Linked DNA regions of Oreochromis niloticus. Each later gene encodes a partner of the first gene's protein in a complex. Links are inferred from orthologs where the notes say so. Each region holds a gene or a part of one and is shown in the gene's direction. Other genes may lie near its edges.

What was found. Proteins that work in one complex are often made in the same cells at the same time.
Region 2: snrpd2 (region 1) and scnm1 share a complex: the UniProt entries of both Homo sapiens proteins name them as parts of the minor spliceosome. The link is inferred for Oreochromis niloticus from reciprocal best matches to the Homo sapiens genes SNRPD2 and SCNM1.

The regions. Positions count from the first base shown.
Region 1 is NC_031979.2:15,054,135-15,064,488, reverse strand, and holds snrpd2 (small nuclear ribonucleoprotein Sm D2), read left to right. Parts: upstream 1-6,532; 5' UTR 6,533-6,678; coding exon 6,679-6,680; intron 6,681-7,553; coding exon 7,554-7,733; intron 7,734-8,438; coding exon 8,439-8,613; 3' UTR 8,614-8,885; downstream 8,886-10,354. Other genes in the region: foxg1c (forkhead box protein G1c), read left to right, coding at 1,206-2,402. UniProt on the Homo sapiens protein: Plays a role in pre-mRNA splicing as a core component of the spliceosomal U1, U2, U4 and U5 small nuclear ribonucleoproteins (snRNPs), the building blocks of the spliceosome.
Region 2 is NC_031976.2:31,212,543-31,222,916, reverse strand, and holds the start of scnm1 (sodium channel modifier 1), read left to right. Parts: upstream 1-6,306; 5' UTR 6,307-6,440; coding exon 6,441-6,491; intron 6,492-6,667; coding exon 6,668-6,738; intron 6,739-6,831; coding exon 6,832-6,920; intron 6,921-8,297; coding exon 8,298-8,392; intron 8,393-8,733; coding exon 8,734-8,834; intron 8,835-8,921; coding exon 8,922-9,046; intron 9,047-9,132; coding exon 9,133-9,253; intron 9,254-9,375; coding exon 9,376-9,487; 3' UTR 9,488-10,374. Other genes in the region: tnfaip8l2b (tumor necrosis factor, alpha-induced protein 8-like protein 2 B), read left to right, coding at 864-1,181, 1,816-2,058; lysmd1 (lysM and putative peptidoglycan-binding domain-containing protein 1), read right to left, coding at 3,499-3,673, 4,203-4,510, 5,532-5,759. UniProt on the Homo sapiens protein: As a component of the minor spliceosome, involved in the splicing of U12-type introns in pre-mRNAs. Plays a role in the regulation of primary cilia length and Hedgehog signaling.

The DNA.
Region 1 (10,354 bases):
AGTCGTGTCTGAAATGACCGCTGCATTATTACTAAAATAATCATTTCAACTGAAACCTTAACGGTTCGACAAGTTTCTTTGCTTTCTTCATCAGCGGGAAATTGTCCAAACTCAGAAAATCAAGGTTATTGTTAAGTAGCAAGTAACCTACGCAGAGAGAAAACTCGCTGTGAGTAATTATTAGATTTAAGAGAAGCATGGATTAAGTTAAATGCACTGTTTAATTTGAAGTAAGGAGGCAGTTTTCAGTTTCAGAGTCATTTTCTAAGCTCAGATAAGAATCTCTAGCTACTGTCTGTTTAATTTTACCACATTTTTGCCCAGAAGTAATACAATTTTTTGCATCATAAATGCATGCTGCTCAGAGCTGGTTTAAATTACGAAATAACTTGTACGTGTAAGAATCTTGCCCTTCATTCTGCGTTTTAGCCTGCTCGTCTTTGGCCCGTTATATACAGGATCATTCAGGCTCTACGGCTTCTTCATTCTCTTGATCGGCATTTTGCCAAATTGGCTCCTATGATGTCGATTAAGGTGCGCAAAGAGAGAAAGCAGAGAAGAAGAGAAACGAGAGAGAAAGATGAGGCCAGCCCAGGGGGTGAGGCGCGTGTGAGAGTGTTGAATTTCATGAGTCACGGAAGTGTTATAATTGCACCCCAGAGTTCACTGATCAGTCACACAGATTGACAGCACATCCATGTCATCCCGGGTTCAAGCCAGCCTTGGCACAGTGTGTTTGGTATCATGGCACATCCTTTCATTCTCAAATTATTATAGATTTTTCTTTGGAGGGTTTTGATTGGTGCTTATAAAAAAAAAAAAAAACATCATATGAGTCATATTTTAGTGTGTTGCTTTGATTTTATAGATGAAAGGCGTTTAAATCTTCACTGGAATAAATGAATGATCTGTTTAGTAAAATAGACCCGCTTGACTCAAAGTACGGACACATGCGCACAACACGTCCCAGGATGATTCTCTTTTATGTGCAGTTACAAAGTAAATACCAACTCGAGTCGTTTTGGAGGTAACGAGTCCTGAGCTGCTGTGATCATGCGCATTTGTTGTCACGCTGTCTGGCCCGTGCGTCTTTGGCTCTTCACCACTTTGAGTCGACGCATCTTTGCTCTGTGGGTTCAGCGGTACGCTCTCCTGCGCTCTCCGGACAGCTTTGAGAATTTCGAGAGTATTTTTTAACCTTTGGGATGGAGATTGAGGATGTGAAAACTTCAAGCCGATTATTCCACAAGTCTTCATTCAGCATCAGCAGCCTGTTGTGGAGACGAGAAGGAGTGATGGGTGACAAGGAGTCTCCTTCTCAGTCCCAGAAAGTGCGCTCTAACCAGCTTGCAAAAACCAGCCAGGATCAAAACTTTGAAAAGTCAAAAGAATGCGCCAAAGTGGAAACCAAAGCGGGGACTGTAACTGGGAAACGAGAAGGAAATAAGGAAGAATCGAGGGAAACCGGTGGGGCAGAAGAAAGCGTCAAACCCGAGAAACCTCCTTTTAGTTACAACGCGCTCATCATGATGGCGATCCGCCAAAGCCCCGAACGACGGCTCACGCTCAACGGCATCTATGAGTTCATCATGGACAACTTTCCATACTACCGGCAAAACAGACAAGGGTGGCAAAATTCAATCAGGCACAACCTGAGCCTAAACAAGTGTTTCGTGAAAGTGCCGCGCCACTACGACGATCCCGGCAAAGGCAACTACTGGATGCTGGACCCCTGCAGCGAGGACGTCTTCATAGGTGGCACATCGGGAAAACTGCGGCGCAGAGCCGCAGCTGGCTCCAGGGCCAAGCTTGGGTTGAAGAGAGGAGGCGGTCGTGTGATGCCCTCCAGCACTGCAACTAGCGTCACTCTGGCCGCAGCCAGTTCGTTTTACTGGCCGGTTCCGCCGTTTCTACCTCTCCAAGCGCCGGTGCGCACCCACCTTGGCGCGGGGACTTACCTGAGCGCGCACCCTCGCTTCTCCAACCACGCCACGTCGGTGGTCTCACAGCGGGCCCGACTGAGCGCAAACGCTGCGGACGCTGACCGGTTCGTGCAGACGCACCAGGAGATGTCTTACATCGGACTCAGTTGCGCGCAGTCCCGTCGCCACCAGATCGGCGCCGCGTGCACCGCCTTCTCCACCTCCATCCCCGCGTGCACGCTGCCGCTGACAGACCCGTGCTCTTTTAACATGATCTCCGGACAAGCCAGCTACTTTTACTCTCACCACATACCGTGCGCCGCCACGTTTAGTCAAGAGGAGTGCGCCACCTCCAAGACACCAGCGGCGACGTTTTTACCCAAGAGCGGTCACTCAGACCTCGGAGGATGCTGCGGTGACTTTTCAAATTACTGCCCTCAAGTCAGCCCGAGCCCGTCGTCTTGGAATATAGAGAAATAGATAAACAGTCCCGACAGCCAGTATGTGAGATTTGAAACATTGCTGTAGATAGTTTGCTAATTGTTGGAAACAAAAGGCAAAGCCAAAGAATCCCGATGAATGATAAAAATCCTGCAATATTTACCCAAATGTCTGCGTCACAGTGGATGTCTCTAAGTAAAAAAGCGTTAATAGACTTGGATTATTTCTCAGAGTTGCAAAGTTTAAATGACCAAAATAAATGACGCGTGGACTATAAGTCTTAAAATACTTCATCCGACAAACACATTTCCGAAAATGAGCAAAAAAATGTGTTTTTGCATATAATGTAAATCCTAGGATATGCGCGGATATGCGCAGATCATTTTTTAATGCAATTAACGTTCACCGAGTTTGCATCTGCTTCTGAAATTGTACTAGAAAAAATATTATCCTTTGTTAACTTTCCTCATCAATGATTTCCCACATGTATGTTTATTGGTATCAAAAAGTGAAGGGTTTTTTGGCGCATGTCACCAGTTTTGGTTTGAAGGGAGGTGAGAAGAAAACACGATTTTAAACATGAAATAAAATCGAAAAATATATAACTCTTGATGAAGGGATTTGCTTTCTCCAGCATGGTGTCCAACACATTAAAATATTACTTCGAAAAGGTTCCAGCTAAATTTTAAACGAACGGGTGGAACCGGGTTTTTTGGTTTGGTTTTTTGGATTTTTGGATTTTTTAGTCCACTTTTTAAATTATGAGTTTTCAGTTTGGGTGAAAATGCGATGTGAAAATGATACTTAAACTGCTCATTTGCTGCACTTATTGTCTTCGATTTCGTTAATGTTGCAACCATATATATATTACATTCCCATTTTAATGACCTTACATGTAATTAAACGATAAATAATGCATTTTTAATTGTGTTTTCTTTTTACCTCATTAAAAGCTGCTGTTGTTGATTGTTCTTATTTGGCTGTGTTATTAAATGTTTCACTCTGGAGATTTGAGCCCGCACAATAAGAACTATATATAGACTGGATTGAATGTTTTAAGGAAAGGTTGTGAGGCACAGAGGCCTCTGTGTGGGTATGCTCTGAGCCATTCTTTTTTTGTTTATGAACAGTTCCACTAAAAAGGTTTCTCGAGGAGATATCGTGTGGAAAAGGTTGTGATGTAACCTCAACAGGTAGACATGGCATTTCCAGTCGCGCAGATCTTATTGATCTGTCTTGTGTTTCAACCTGCGCTGACATCACTGCCTGTTAAACTTTCCCTCACCTCTCCTCCCTGCTGCACCCTGGAGATTTAAATTAATAGATGTATGTGGATGCAGATTAGAGCAGCTGTCTCTTTTAAACAAAGGGTTCTTTATCAAAAACATAAATAGAAAGAAAAAAAAACCTCACCACCTTTCCAAAGCCAGCCACATCCACAGTCACCTGTGGTTAAAGCAGACCGGGCTGGATCAGGTAACTCACTGTCTAGATAGATACAAAAGATAATATTTACACTTTGGCATGAAGCACTGTGGCACTGTGGTGTGCAGAGCAGCAAGGGGGGGGGGGCTTAGCTGTGAAGCAACAAGCTTTTGGTGCAAAGTATCCTGAGGCAGGAGTAAGAAGATACTGTTTGCTGTTAGTGCAATAAATAACATGTTTAGTTTGACAGCTCTACTAATAACCATAGAGCTATAATTCACCCTGCTACAATAAGGTTTCGCTGGTTTTTGGTGTGCAGGAAGCTGCAGAAATGTAGAAATTATGATGGCTTTTTCAAAACCAATCAAAAGTTTTAAAAAAAAAACTCTTTAGTTATCATCTCTTTCTGCTCAAATTTCAGTTTTCAGATACATTTTTTAAAATGTACAACAAAATGTAAAGTGGGAATAACACCTCTGTTTGTTCTGTTTGATTTGGGTGAGTAGGAAAGGGTCTTTGAAGACCCTCACGTATCTGCATTTGTTGTTCCCTTAAAATTAGGTTGGAATTCAGTTGCTGAGCATGAAGCAGTCCATGCCAGACCTTCGACTTCTCCCTCCACATCATTTCTGTTTGGAGAAACAGAGCAGCTCTTTAAAGCCACTGAACATTCTGCATCAGTATGTCTCAAAGTGCACCTGTTTGACGATCAACATCAGCATCAGTGTTTGCCAGCTTGTTTCTCCCACGCTGCAAAATTTTCAGGCTCTGTTTAAGCTCCAGTATTTTCTGTCAAAAAGAAACCTTGTTACCACAAGTTACCACAAATTCTTCTTCTTCTTATTATTATTATTATAAATCAAACAGATTTAACAGATTTTTGTTGTGCACTGAAAAAGAGCTTAAAAAACACTTATGGGAGAGGGTGGCTATCCGTCTGTGCCCGGCATGTCCTTGTTCAGTGTAAGGTGTTGTACAGGTTCAGTTTCACTAACATTAGACTCTAAATCCTTTCCAAATGTAGAGTCAATCTGTCATACCCACACCTCTTTGGCACACGCTTTCTGGAGGTGTCCTAACGTGTTCACGTGTTTGAACTCAGTCTTCAAAGTGCTGTCAGATATTTTTTTCAGACTAGTAATTCAGTCTGACTCTTTCACCATATTTGGGATTTTGGGTGAGAATAATAACCTTCCTGTAAATGAAGTGCAAATAACAAAAGTTGCCACCTTGTGCTGCTTGAGGGAAGTGATGCAAACTTAAGATATTAAGATTTACAGTATGTCCACAATATATTTTGATAAATCTGAGGGAATTGTAAATCCTTTAAAATCCTGTTCACTTTCTTGCAGGTCTATCCATTTTCTTAGAAACACAATCCAATTAAATGAATCTTACAGTTACTTTGTGCATCTGCATGTCTGTTAATGTGTATGTTTTGCTTTATTTTTTGTTCTCACTGTTCTGTCTGTTTTGAAAGCCAATAAAATTTAGGTTAACAAAAAGGAAACTTTACTTTTTCTACTTGGCTGTTTCACATATTTTCTTCTTGTCTTTTTGGTTAGTTACTGAGTATTTGCCTGCTCTCTTAACTGAACAAAGTCTTTCCAGACTCCCACTTTTCCGTTTCATGTATATGAGCTCATTTTACACCACAGTTTAGGATGCAAGACTTTTGGCTGAGCTAGGTGTGCTCCATAAAGATGTAGCCCAGCAGCGCTGGTAATCGATCCCAGTCAATCACACTCCCCTCCCTCAGCAGCACACAGGCTGCCATTATCTGCAGCAAGTGCTTTCGACAGGTAGATCTGCCACCACTGAAACAAGGTGGGTGGGTTGGACACCTATAGGCGTCTGTCTGTCTCTTGCCAGAAAGCCAATCTCCCTCTCTCAGACATAGACGTGCTCTTTTTACTCGTTCTTGTTGTACCGAAGAGCAAAACAATGACTTAACTGTTTGAGTCTGCATATCAGTTTGACTGCTCTCTGATTTATTTCTTTTATCCTATAACATCTTCTTAAGAGGTCTGAGTTATATTGAGTCCCAAACCGTTATTATTATTATTATTATCATTATTATTATTATTATTATTGTTATTATTATTAGAGTATCAGTATTCTTTGCAGAAAAAAACATAAAATTGCTCTATTCCCTATAATAAGAAAATTATGCTTTTAAACTGAAAGACAATTTGAGCATGCTTACATAAGAATTTATCCTGTATTTAATATGTTAACAGTGATGTCAATTTTATATGTATATACCATATTTTACTACACGTAATCTCATGGGCTTACTATAAAAGTTAAAACCATTTAAAATTTTTATGAACTAATAGAAGGATTTATAGTTTATTCTGTACTCAACTGGGAGCCAATGAAGTGACTTAATGTGAGGACTCTTATCAAACTATATGATTACCAAAACTGACTATCCAAAAAAAAAATGCCAGGGTTCCTGATGCGCTCATTGTGTTTCAGAAAATTGGATGATAAATACGATGAAATGTTCTGTCTCTGATTTTCTGGACTAACAACAAATATTTGTCTTACCTCTTAAAATTCAGCAATTAATGTGTCATTAGTTTGTGAACAGGATAGATCATCGGAGTAGAATAATAAAATCATATCTAGTCAGCTTTTAGAGGCAGTCTATTGAATAAAATGTAAAATATAATGCAATTAATGATGGAAACGGTGTGTTTCAGATTGACTTTTTTGTACCGTTCAGTTAGCCTGTAGTAACCCGGTAGTTGTAGCGGCGTTTTTGAAGCGCCTTCCAATAGACCCGGAAGTAGTTTGATCCACGCGAGCCATACGGAATCGTTGCAGAGCGAGCTGAAAACGACCGAATTGTTACAGAGTGAGCTGAAAACGACCTAAAGAAATCATGTAAGTGTCTGTGATGATCAGCTATTGTTGTGAGAGACTGGTTATTCTTTCAGACACTGAAATCCGCTAACAGCGAGCATTTAAAAGGCTAACATTGTTAGCCTTTCTGCTACCCGGGCCGGTTAGCTTGATGTGCTTGATTCTTTGTAGACGCTTTCGGAGCTCTCCCTTTTCATAACTAGCTGTGTTACAGATTTGTTGTAGTTACATCAAAAGTAGTTCGTACATCTGGTCTTCCTTGTTGTACAGTTTAAAAATACTGATTCCGAAATCAGACTATAGCGTAAATGCTAGTTTGCTAAATGCTAACAAGAAACAAAGTGTGTGAGCGTGCGTTTTCATGCTGGTAACTAATTGCGACCTGTAGCAGTCTAGTGACGTAAAAATTATTATTTTTTTAAATAGTTTAAAGCATAAAAGTCCCCAAACATGTCCCAAAATATGACCCACTGAAGCTTTTAAATGGCTAGGTTTAAGCTTCAGTGTGTTGTGTGTGTGCTGTCTGATAAATGCATCTGTGCTCAATACCAATTTTACAGGTGTAGCGAGACATTTTACTTTGTGTACCGTGTACAGTTTAAGTTTTCCACTTAACTTTTTTTCAGTAAGTAGTCACACAACAAATAATGAATAAATTCCAGCAAAATTTCCTAATAATAAAAAAAAATATCAAAATGTATAATTAGTCTATCTGTACCTGAGCTGTGGCAACGCACAGATTTCCCTGCTGTGGGATCAATAAAGTCTTGTGTTATCTTAATAACAAAAAACCTCCAATAGTACTACTTTACTATTTCAAATATATGCCACTGTTATTGTCACACTCACTTATTAGGATACTGTTATGATGTTGTCTCATTGTTTCATTTGCAGGAGCCTCTTAACAAAGCCCAAGTCAGAGATGACCCCTGAAGAGCTTCAGAAGCGAGAGGAGGAGGAGTTCAACACCGGCCCCCTCTCAGTCCTCACGCAGTCAGTGAAGAACAACACGCAGGTCCTTATAAACTGTCGCAACAATAAGAAGCTGCTCGGAAGAGTCAAGGCTTTTGACAGGTACCGAATTGGACATTTATTTAGTATTTAACACTCTTGAGGGTATAATGTGAGACTTACTTGTTTATATCAGTGTGTTTTATATCTTGTTTCTTTTGTCTGTTTTGTTAGATTTAAGCCTTTATTTCATTATTATTGCTAGCCACTGGTGATAACATGTTATCGTGTCACTTTGGTCCCTTTTTAGTATTCACTCGTTTCTTATTTTTCTCCATTGGAGTCACATTTAGCACCTTTAATTTATTATGAAATATTGCCCTGTCTTAAAGGTAAAAGTAACCAAACACATTTAGTTTGTAATTGTTGTATAATGTTGCTGGAACATTGTCCTCAGGCACATACAATCATTTTAATGAGCTGGTTTACTCACCTAATGAGTGAAAGATCCGCCAACTCCTATTGACGTTCCATCAGAAAGATCTGTTATAGAAATTGAAACATACAGAACTACCCACCGGAGTAACCCATTGTGAATGAGGTAGCAGCTGAAAAGTAGTTTTTGTTTTGTTTTTTCCATTTTAGGTATAATATTTATTTATCATTTCTTCTGATACTGCAGAAGATTTAAAAAAAAAAAAAAAAATCACAGAACATGTACATGTAAATGCATATGTATGAGTACCTGAGTAAAATCACAGGTATTTTATTTATGTATGCATTTATTTTCTCTAACTTGCTAACATTACATCCTCACCGGCATTTCAGGCATTGCAACATGGTCTTGGAGAACGTGAAGGAGATGTGGACAGAAGTTCCGAAGAGCGGGAAGGGAAAGAAGAAGTCGAAGCCCGTAAATAAGGACCGCTACATTTCTAAAATGTTCCTCAGGGGGGATTCTGTCATCGTGGTGCTGAGAAATCCTCTGATCACAGGAAAATGAACTCTCTGAACCGCTCACCTATTCTTTTCTTTTTTTTTTCTTACACTTCCTCAAGGCAATTGATTGTAGTTGCCGTAACCTTATTTGTTTTGATTTTGATGTTGGATCACTGAATTCACTATTAAGACAGAAAACGTGTCATCAAAAAGATGTTTCTCCCATTTTGACTGTCATTTAAAATGTTAGGCATGAAAGTGACCAATTTTTTTCTTTGTCTGCGGAGCTTTTCTGTCTTTTTCATTTTCATAATAAAAGTGATGAAGAGATGAAAACATTGTGCAGATATTTTTACAGCTTTTAGAGTGTATGTAGTTTACATTACACAAATGTAGACTAGTCTTTATATTATTAATTTCTCTGACAAAAACTGGTTTTATGTTTTCAGATTGTCTGTTTATCCCATTCTCAAGAATTCAGTATTTCAGCTTCATCACATTTGGTACATCTATTTATGTTCACTTGGGCTAAAAATCAACATCCCTGAACACAAAAAACATTTTGGCTCCAACTAAAGAATTAATTTAATAATCCCTGCACGGTTTCACACAAACATCTGACTTGGTCTTTAACTTTACCAGTAATTAAAATGATGATGTGATAAACTTGAATAACCATAACATTTACAGTGACACCATAACGTCTCGCCAAAAAAGAAAAAGAACTTTGCTTATTATTCACGGCCAGAACACAGAAACAAACAGGAGGATTTTTATCTGTATTTTAGATTTGTTCTGACACAAAAAGGTGACTTTAATCTTTGTCGCCCACTTGAAGTCCCTGAAAGTCTTTTTTACGTATCAGTTTGGACGGATGTTTCTATAAAGTTCAACTTCACTAATCGACGAGCACATACACTCATGAGGTTGTACTTGGTGGTATTTTGTAGCGCTCATTCAGTGCAGTCATTGAAAAGTTATTTCTCCTTGCCAGCCTCCCCCTCCCCTTCTCCTCCTCATCCTCCTCCTTCCACTGTCACCCTTTCACTCTCCCCTGACAGCATCTAAGGTGTCGGGCTTGATTTCAGTCAGCAGCGCTCAATAAGCGACAAACTGCCGTTTAAAGGCCCGCTGCATTATTGATGAGACCAGATGTGCTGACTGTCACTTCACACCCTCATCTCTCTCCATTTCGAGCCGTTCCATCTCTGCCGCTCGGCCCCTCCTGACCACTTTGTTAATTGTCTTAATAGCTCGACAGCTAGTGTCGCCTTACTTCTCCCTACCAGTTGGCATCTAACCTCTGCTCTGTGGTGCTCTCATATTCAGTGGTTACATAGATGAAATGCTTGTTTGTGTATTTTATAGTATTCTGCGAAGGGTGGGGGGGGTCGTTGAGAATTGCATGCCTCTGATTTCTGAATCATTCCTCTTGTTTTATCTGATGGAACCTCATGAAAAAATTGCTAAATATGTTTACAGAACTATCCTGAATTTTCTGCTGTCATCCTAACATCTTGACCTCTGTTTTATAATTTATGTCACTTTGCACTCTCACTGTTAACACTGCGCCTATCAGCCCAGCACCTGTGGAGTATCTGTGTGAGGGCAACAAGTCGTCACTGATTTACAGCTCTCAGGTGAAGCCTGCTGGGTGAGTCAACGGGAGAGTCGGGCTTAGCACTTTATGTGAAATGTAGTGAACTTCTGTGACTGCTCTGATAGCTATTGCACTAATGCTTCTGGCAAATCCAAGTTTGAGATCATGTTGCGGAGGCCGGAAAATAGACGAGTTGTTTCATAGT
Region 2 (10,374 bases), on another chromosome or scaffold:
ATTTAACACACTAAATGTTCAGTGTTTGTTCATTTAGCACCAAGAGTAACTCGATGTATGTTTCTAATTTTAAGATAACCAATAAAAAGGTTTGAACTCTTAGTAATATTGACACTAAGATGGAGTTTTATTATGTGTAAGAAGGGTCAGTGGATGATAATCTGAAAGTTAAAAAGTAAAGAGGGAAAACTCGCCACTTTGCTATAAAACATGTTTCCCCTCCCTTTCCAACAGTTTAATCTTGAAGTCAGCACTCATTCTCCAACTACTCAACTGGAACTGCTGTTTTTTTGAAGATTTTGTGGCAGAAAAATCTAGGGCAGAAAGAAAAACTGTTTTCTTTTAAGAGTGTACGTGTGTGTCTTCTCCTTTTGGGTTTAAACAGGACCTCTTTAGCACTTCATTCAACCCAAAAATGTTGTGCAATCTAGTCTTTACTTGCCTACCAGCAGGATTTGCTGTCGATTTACTGTGATGGGTATGGGCAGTGACAGGAAATCTGCCTAAAGAGACAAATTCAAACGTTCAAACTGAAAATGGTTACCAATCAGTTTAATCACAGGAAGCTGAAACTGTAAATGTTGAACAATCTGCCTCTATAGCTGAGAGAACTACACACTGTGTAATGATATCCTGTTGGGCTATTTATGAGCATAAAGTATGAATATTTTATTTCTTTTCACTGCTTTCTTTCTGCAGGTATAATTATGAAATCTTTTGTCTATACACAATTTAAATGTGCTCAAACTGAGCTGTAAAAAGTTTATGTGGATATTAAAACAGCTGAATAGTTGTATAATGACTTTATCAGGACAGACATTAAAATGAAAAATTCAATTCATTTTCTTCATAATTCAGGCACAATGGATGCGTTCAATGCCAAGGACATGGCCATGAAGGCACAGAAGAAGATCCTCAGCAGCATGGCCACAAAAAGCTCTGTACAAATGTTCATTGATGACACCACCAGTGAGATCCTAGATGAACTGTACCGGGTCTCCAGAGACTACTTGGGAAATAAATCAGAGGCTCAGAAAGTCATCAAAGACCTCATCAAGATTGCAGTCAAGATCGGCGTCCTTTTCAGGAACAACCGCTTCAGCACAGAAGAGCTGGCAGTGGCCCAAGACTTTAAGAAGAAGCTCCACCAGGGAGCAATGACAGCTATCAGTTTCTATGAGGTACACTTCCCAACTTAAAAATTTTAATGCATGATGTATAAGTAGGCATACATCACCTGAAAGAAAATTGTGCTAATGCACATGTTTTCTAGCTCCAACTGCAAAAGAATGCCAATTACTCTCAAATGGGAAAAATGTTTTGTGCACAGCATGAACTTCAAGGCTGGGAAATCAGGCAACTTCAAGAGTTGCTTGACCTTAGTTTTTCCACAATAAATGCAATTTGCAGTTGTGTTAACATTTCCAATTAAAACAGATAAATATATTAATCACATAGCATCAAAATGTCCAGGTTAGTTCATTGTTGAATATGATTCTCTTCTGCATCAACGTGTGGCTCAGACATTGCTTTAAAGGGTTGCTTGTTTTATTTCAGTTCCACATAATCAAGTGCTTGTTTCTCTGCTTTGGTAATGTGAGAGAACAATAAGTTGATATTGAAACTTCTGTATTGGGATTAAAATTGAATATGCAAGAAAGATTAAGATAACGAAAATATGCAACCTCTAAGACGTCTTTAAACCTGGTAGAATATTCATACATCATATCCTGCTACTTCACAGTCATGTTAAGATATTAAACAATTCTACTTGTATGAAATTCCTAACATGAATGCATGTCTTGTCTGATGCAGGTGGACTTTACCTTTGAAAAAACAGTGATGGCAGACATCCTGACCAGCTGCAGGGATCTGCTGCTGAAACTGGTCAACACCCACCTCACCACTAAATCTCATGGTCGCATCAACCATGTCTTCAACCATTACTCCGACCCACAGCTCCTGACCCAACTGTACAACCCTGATGGGCCCTTCAGACCCAACCTCACCAAGATCTGTAAAGGACTGAATAAACTAGTGGAAGATGGGACAATATGACATCAGAACTAAATTTCAGACAGACACTGGGAGATCAACAGACAGACTCAACTAGGACTCTGAACTGCTTGTTTTTCTGTTACTGAGGACTGGCAACATAAAACAAGTCATTTGAGAACCAACCTGCTTTCCCATAGTTCTCAAAGAACATGTGGGATACAAATAAAGCTTTGTGGAGTCATTCAAGTTTTTGATATTTTGGGGCCATAAATATATATTATGTAAGTGATGCTAATTTTCTATTCAGACAGTGTCCAAAGAAAACAAACTTGAAATTAAACAGATATATTGTGCATTGATTATTTTACTAGCATACAAAATATCATCTAATATTTGTGACTTTGAAATGTATTATTCAGAACTACTGATATTATGCATTATAATCACTGATATGAATCAGCTGGACAGATGCATAAGCAAGTTAGGCCTGGGAACAGTACCACTATAGTACACCACTGCCATCTGGTGGTTAAGATGATGCTTCTGCAGCAACAAACTGTATTTACTGAGGTGTCCAGACAACAATCAAGCCAAAAATAAAGATAATGACCCCAGAGTGCACAATTACTGCGACCATGACTGTATTTTAAAAACATGTTTAGATCAACAAAAAGACAGACTCTTTACTCATGACTGCTTGAACAGCCAATCTATAATTCATGATTTTTGGATCACAGTAGGGCTTAAAAATGTTTTAATTCATTGGTCTATTGGCTATTCATTGGTCTTACACGGCAGTTAAAATGGATAAAAATCAACTCCAATTGGACATTAAATCTCACATAACAGCTAAATCTGCATGTTATACTAAAAGATATTTGTTAGCAGTAATGTGAATAAATGTCATTTAACATGGGATAAAAATATTTATTTTAAAACAAAAAATACAAAATTGAGAAGACATTAGAAATATAACCTTAACAACACAATTATTGCAATGAAATATTATAAAGCCTACAAAATGTTTTCTTGCATTTTCAGCAGTAATAGAAAAACCATCATTCTAATCAGTTTATTGTCATCATCATTATTACAGTAAACGTAACTTGTGTTTAAGATTCCATTTCCTAAGGTTACAAGTCTGAAAATATGAGGCAATTACACACAAACCCCTTTTGTGTTGACCATATGATCATCTGACTAAATATGATTGATTTTTCATTTTTCAAATTTCAAGTTTCCATTTCCTGGATGTGAATAGTCATATGAAGCTTTTCACAACCTACAGTATGTCTCACCAAATAAATAACAAGTCTACAATTGTGCAATATAATTTTTTTTAAATGGAAGTGTAAAAACACTTTTATGCTTTAGGCAGCAGCGGGATCACCGGGGATTCCTTTTCATTCCTTTATCCGTAACGCTCCGTTATCCTGGAGATCAAACAGCGCATCACGGCTCCCTGCGAAAGTTCCATTAATGTTCTGAGTGACAGACATGTCACAGTTCAAAGATTTCATCTTCCTTGTCTCTCAGTTTCTTGGTCAGTTTGGTGACAGTGAGCGGTACTGTCCCATGTACTGCCATCCTGGAAGATGAAATGACACTCTGTGACCTCGTAAGCGGCCGGCAATCTGATGTCCTGTTGTTGCAAGTTGCTTCTAGTGTAGCAACCCTGGTAAATAAAAAAAATATATAACAGAGCAAGTCATTCACAGTGTACTGATCTTAGGCTAAATTGATTGATATTCTTAAAAAATAAAAAAAAATAAAAATAATCGCTGTTGCACTGGTACTATCACCAGGTCATTACAAATTAAATTCAAAGTAGCTATTAAGCATTGGGAATCTTTTGAACAGCCACATTGTGAGTGGTTGATGAAATACTAAGAAGGCCAGAAAGGTGGATGACTATACTTGACATGACAATCTAGGTTAAACTGACCACCAGATACTATCCATGTATATCTATGCTTAACATCAAAATGCGTGTATTTAACCATGACCTCAACATTGTTTACACATCAGTGAAGGTACAATATTCTCAGCGACATGACTAAAAACATATCCATAAGCAGGACCAACTGATCTAACTATTAGTGACTTAAATACGAAGAGGGTAAGTCTCTGTAATGCTACAAATGACCCTGACTGGACAACAACTGTGCAAAGAAAAGAGCAACCAGCGACAGGCACAGTTATACCTTTTCTCTGCTTCCTGGCATCCTTTGACTGCAGCCTGCTTGGACTGGCTTATCAAGTCATCCAACCTTTTCAAAAAATCCCCAGGAGTGAGATCTTTTCTGTCTTCTTGATTTTTCTCAGAGGAACTCCCTGTGTGTCCATTGTGAAGCGAAGCAGAGTTAGCACTGCCTTTGTTGCCGTCCTCCTCAGCCACATCCAGCCCTTTACTGCAGTCGTCCAGGTCTGCTATCACAGGGATTGTCAAAGACTTCTTCAGGAATATTGAGTCATTGGTGTACAGCCTGTTTGCTCTTTTGATTTGCTCCATCTGAAAGAGAAAATGTCCTTGTGAACCTTATGTTAATTAGTATTAGACTTGGCTAAATCAAGTCTCACTTTTACCGAGATCAGTAGGCAGACAGCAAACCAAATAAATACATGCCATTTTAAGGCAAGCACTTTTTCATAGTATGCCCTAACAGCTGAATAAACAATTTAATTATGTAGTTGAACGTTTTTGTTGAACCACTGAGATAACCCTACCTCAATAAATATGAAAATAAAACAATAAGAAATGTGATTATTCACCCACATTTACATTTCAGTATTGGTAAATCAAGTATTCAGTTAGAAGACATCATATCGCAACAAGTAAATTTCAACATAAGCTTAACATGACATCGTGGTTTGGGAACAGCTGTGTGAAGGACCAAAAAGCTCTCCAGAGATTGATCCGTACAGCAGAACGCTGCTGCAGGATTGCTCTCCCCCCGCTTCAGGACACCTACACCAGGAGATGCCGGACTAGAGCAACGCAGATACTGAAGGACCCGTCCCATCCTGGCAACAAACTGTTCCAACTTCTACAATCTACAAGAGGAGCTTCTATCCTCAAGCCATCGGCCCTAAACCAACACCCCCCCCCACCCACCCACACACACACACACACACACACACACACACACACACACACACACACACGCCCTCTCACATCATCTATAATTGACTGAGACTTTCCTCCAGACACTCATTTCCTTTAACTTTAAATATGTTTATATTGTCCATTCTGTAAAATAGTCAGATGTCTATTCATATTAATGTACAGAATTGACCTGCTTGCTGCTACTACTGCACATTCACCCAATGTATATTTATAATGTTATTCCTCTACCCCCCCTCCCTTTTTGCACATGTCGAGGAGCGTGTCAGGATACATTTCACTCTGTGTTATACTTGTATAACTATGCATGTGACAAATAAAGAACCTTGAACCTGAACTGTTAAAGGCGCAAGAAATAAATACTTTAACTAATTCAGTCTCAGAGTCAAACCAACACAGTCATACTCACAGACACTCCATACTTCAGCGCCAGGCCTTGCAGTGTCTCTCCCGGCTGAATTATATGTTCAATACGTCTCTGGTGCACCGGGGACAGCGGAGATCGGATCAAACTGCCGTAAGATCTTGTGCGGCTCCCTCGGAGTAGGCCGTCTCCTCCAGCTGGTAGTGGAGCTCGCTCCTCTGACATTGTCGTAAAACACTTATATTGTTCTTTTTTTGTGTGGTAAACAACCATGTGGGCCTAAAATGCGCTTACCAGCGAACTTCACTGCTGTTAACATCTTCACAATAATGGCTTCCGCTTTAGCCCATAATTATCAAACTAGCAGCTTAGTTAGCCTGCTAGCTAAGGCTATCAACTTAATTAACGTCGTCGCTCGTTATTTGTTCCAAGCGTTCAATCTTTTCTCCAAAATGACAGCCGTTTAAACTATATAGAAAGTTTCTTGGATTACAAATATAACGTACCTTATCTGTCAAATACACAACTAAAAGTCGCTGAAAAACTTGTTTTCAAAACTCTTGCAGTCAGCTGTCTACAGCCATATGTTGCCATGGCTGCCGTGTTCACTGACTAGTCCTATGATTCGCCACAACGCGTTGCATTAAAGACTGTAGGGGAAAAATTTGCGTTTTATATTAAGTTGATATAGTTTGTTTCACAAATTGAGCAAATACAAACTATAGCCACAAATCGAGCTTTCAAATGACTATGCGGACTTTATATTATAAAAACCAGCAGATATCGTTGTAGTTCCGATAGCCGAAACAATTATCCACCTCAAAGATGAGCACAGGTCTATATTTCCTATCTTCCGTTTGTCCATGAATGCAGCATTGCTATTAGCTTATATATTATAGCCAAGAAGCTACGCTGCTACTCAGATTAGTTTTTATATTATTGATCATAACAATTATGTCCTTTAAAAGAGAAGGTGACGATAAAAGCCAGCTGAATCTCCTTAAGGTACGGATCAATTTGCAGCATTTTATGTTGGCTTAATAACAGAGACTTCAGCTAAGAGCACACATGTGGCTAGTGTTAGCATCTTTAAGCTAACAACATACTGTAGTTATTACTTTGGGAAATAAAATTGTAGTAAAACTTACATACTATCTAACGTTATTCGCTTCGTTTTACAGAAACGTCGTGTGGCAGACCTTTTGTCTAATTTTATTCCAGAAGATGAGGCTGCTCTTATGAAAAATGGAAGGTGGAGTGAACTTCAAAACATTGATATGTTTGGGAAAGACAAACTTGTGTAGCTAACGGCATGTTTAGTTTAATTTCTCCCCGTATCTTATAGGTACACTTGCCTTGTGTGTTCCTACCGTCCTGTGTTTGATACAGTCGACATGTTGACAGTCCACAGAAAAGGAAAGAGGCATCTAGACGGTGAGCACCTTTAACCTGCAAAGTTATTTAAAGCAACTAAGTTAGTACGTGGGCTCGTACCCCGGGGACCTAGCGGACCTGAAGTTTCGGCCCCAGTCTTATTAAGAAGCGCTGTATCAAGGGTTAGCCATCTGCACACCATTTCTATCCCTTGTCTTTCGCCCTATTTATTGAGACAGTACCCCATATTTTAAATGACTCTGCATTTCTAAAGTCAATGCTGCAGGACAGGCACTTTTATGAGGTCGAGCTATCATCTGAGGTGCTGTGAAGTGCAGGTTAATATGCCATCCTTGCTACATATGCTACACAAAATCAGAGGAGTACAGATGCATAAACTATGCATATTAATAGAATCTGCTCAAAAATAAAATACAACACTGAAGACTGAAAAGCTACTTGTGAGAGGGAGAAGCTACATAACTAACTGAGGATCAAAGAAAGAGATGCGCTGGTCAGTAGTTATGTCCTCATCAGGCAAAACAACAGCCAACACAAGACCTGTATTGTAATTTGATGCAGCAGTTGAAAACCCAACTGAGTAAATGAATAAACTCAATAAAACTCAAAAGCAGCAGTCAAGGGGAAATTTTGCATTGCATTTGCAGATAATCAAGTCAAGTTAACAAAGAGTTGAAATATTGGAAAGTTCAATAGTTTTTGGATTGCGTCATTGGTTAGCTGTTTTTGTGTGTCTTTTCTAATGCTGCGTCACAAAGAGTAGTTTTGGTTTTCAAATTATCTGGATTTGATATCCCGTCATTATTTGGAAGAATTAAAAACCCAAACGATGATACATTGTAGCACTTTTTCACACTAAAACTGCATATTTACAAGTACATAGGGATAAGTAAAAATTTCATGCTTTTGAATTTGTTAGTTTTTCCATCACTTTGAATGGCTGTCAAACAAATTGTACTCTTTAAGTGTCAGAGTGTTGTACAACTATCTAATTTTTCTTCACCAGGTTTTTTTTTTTTTTTTTTTTTTAACATCCAACTTTCCTCATTCGGAAAAGCAAAACTCTGTCTGTTGTCTCTTACACAAACAATTAAAGACAAGCATTTGTACCCTGGAAGTTTTCTTTATTTTCTGATGATTCACTTGAAAAAATTCCGGAAAGTGTATTTTGAATAAGGGTATCACCGTATAACATGTATGTTAGATAAGTTACAGCATATAAAAAGTGTTGTTTTTACCTACATTTCGATACCAGTTTAATTTCTACAGTATGAAGGTAAAGTTTTGCATGTCTTCATTGTATATACCAAACTTGCTGTACTTCAAAGGGAAACGAGTATGACTTTTTTTTCAGGTTTGGTTCAGTTTACATTGACTTTTTAGTAAACCCAGTTGTTTGTTGTGTGTTCTACTCAGGGCTAAAAGCATTTTATGGCAAGAAAGCACGGCTGAAGAATGAAATAACAAAACGGCAACATGAAAACTACGTCGAGGCTGAAGAAAAAAGGCAGGTTGGTAACTATTAATCATGCTTTCTCTGTCAAGTTCACAAGTCTGTCATAGCCAACAGAAAAAATCTGTGTGTTTAACAAAGCAACAACAGATGAGAACCAGCCGGGTCATTCTGCCAGCAGACGGTCAATGAATCATCACAGGAAAAACATCACGAGCTCAACAGATGTAATCTTTCTTTACTGCATGACATTGTTATTCCATGTTGTTGTCTCCTGTTAAATCACTTATGTGGTGCCCGTGTGACTACCATATGACTCTAACAAATTACACCTTACTAAACAATTCAGTGTAGTTGTGTAATGGTGGAAAATATGAGCCACTCTTGTTGTGATTTCAGGAGCCCTCCAGTTCAGCCCCATTACTAGCACAAACACGGAAGCTCACCCATCATGCTTTGCTGAAAACTGTACCATATAACAGCTGTCATAGAAAAACCAGGTGAGTGATTACTTGGTATGAGAGTTGTCTGTATTTGAAGCCATACAATGAAAAACACAATTTAAATTATTTGTCATTCTTTTTAAGCACAAAATCTGAAAAAGTGACAGCAAGCACCAGCTCAGACCCCAGTGACAACATGACATCTGCATGCTGGGAATCTGGCATTTCAGTGAACACGTCACAAAGCAACTCTACTGTCTGTTCAACAGGTAAGGTCTGCTAGAGGAAATGTTTTATTGTCAGCTTTTATTTTGAGCAAACCTTGGTCATGATTTTGCCTGAACTCTTTTTGTAGCCAATAAAGAGCCACATCCATCAAAAGATACGGCCGAATCTCAGGCTGCAGAGACACAGGAGGCTGAACCCATCACTGCCCAGAGGAAGAGAGAGCTGGAGCACTACCTCAAACTGAAAAGGTGCCTAAATGTTGTGGGACTTTCACTTTCTAATGTTGTACATTTTCACTACTTTTTAGCAGATTATTAGATTTTCAGTGCATTTTATCTATTTTTTTGTTGTTGTTGTTATTTTTTCATAGTGATGGGTGGCTGCAAGACCACAGCGGCAAGTGGGTTAAAGACGAGAATGTCGAGTTTGATTCAGATGAGGAAGAGCCGCTTACCCTTGCCCCTGTGCCTGCAAATCAATGACAGCACTTAGAATGGTGTGGAAGCACAGATGAAATTTGTACCACAGTGGTACGTTCACGAGGCACAGTGCTGCATAAAACAGACACAGCTCCATGTGAAAAGAGTTTATTTAACACATTTATTCTGTTCGTGAACCTTTTATGTTGTTTTAATCTACTGAGTCTTCAGCGGCTATTTCTTCCATCCAGGATGTAATCAGTGGAGGTTGCTACAGAGTCAGTCTTTATTCAAGTGTAATCTTTGACCAGACAACTTTTCATATCCAGTTATATTTTATGCTTAAGGCTGAACCTTTGTTGGCTTATCATAGTCCACCCTGAAAATACATTTAGAGTTGGGGGAAAGTGATAAGAATTAACCAATGGTCTCTGAATTTGAGTACTTATATTATCTAACAGCTTACTTTACACCCATAAAGAGTCCTGAATGGAAGAGTCTGAAATCGTTTACAGCTGTGAAAGAGACAAACCACTCATGTTACCGGCACTTTTCCTTAAAATGTTGTGTGTGACTATTTTTTGTTACATTAAATCCAACACCACTGTTCCAATCTGTTGAAAAGATTTGTGCAATGTGACCTCTGCTTGTGACATGAGCATTCTTAGTGTACCTAGAACCCTCCCTCCACCCAGACAGGTTGTGCTACTTCATGCGGGAAGAGCAAGTTTGTCCCAAAGATGTGTTAAGATTTGTCTCTTTTGTCTGCTGCATGTTTGTTTCTCTACTTGCACAAGCAGATTAAGGTAACATCAGGGTTCTGGGAAATGTGATTTTGGAAATATTCATATTCAATACGACTGACCAAACTCTTCATGTTATTAAGAAGTTGGAAAATATTCAAATTGGCATTTGCCTGATTATCTGGCAGGAATTCAGACCATGTTTAA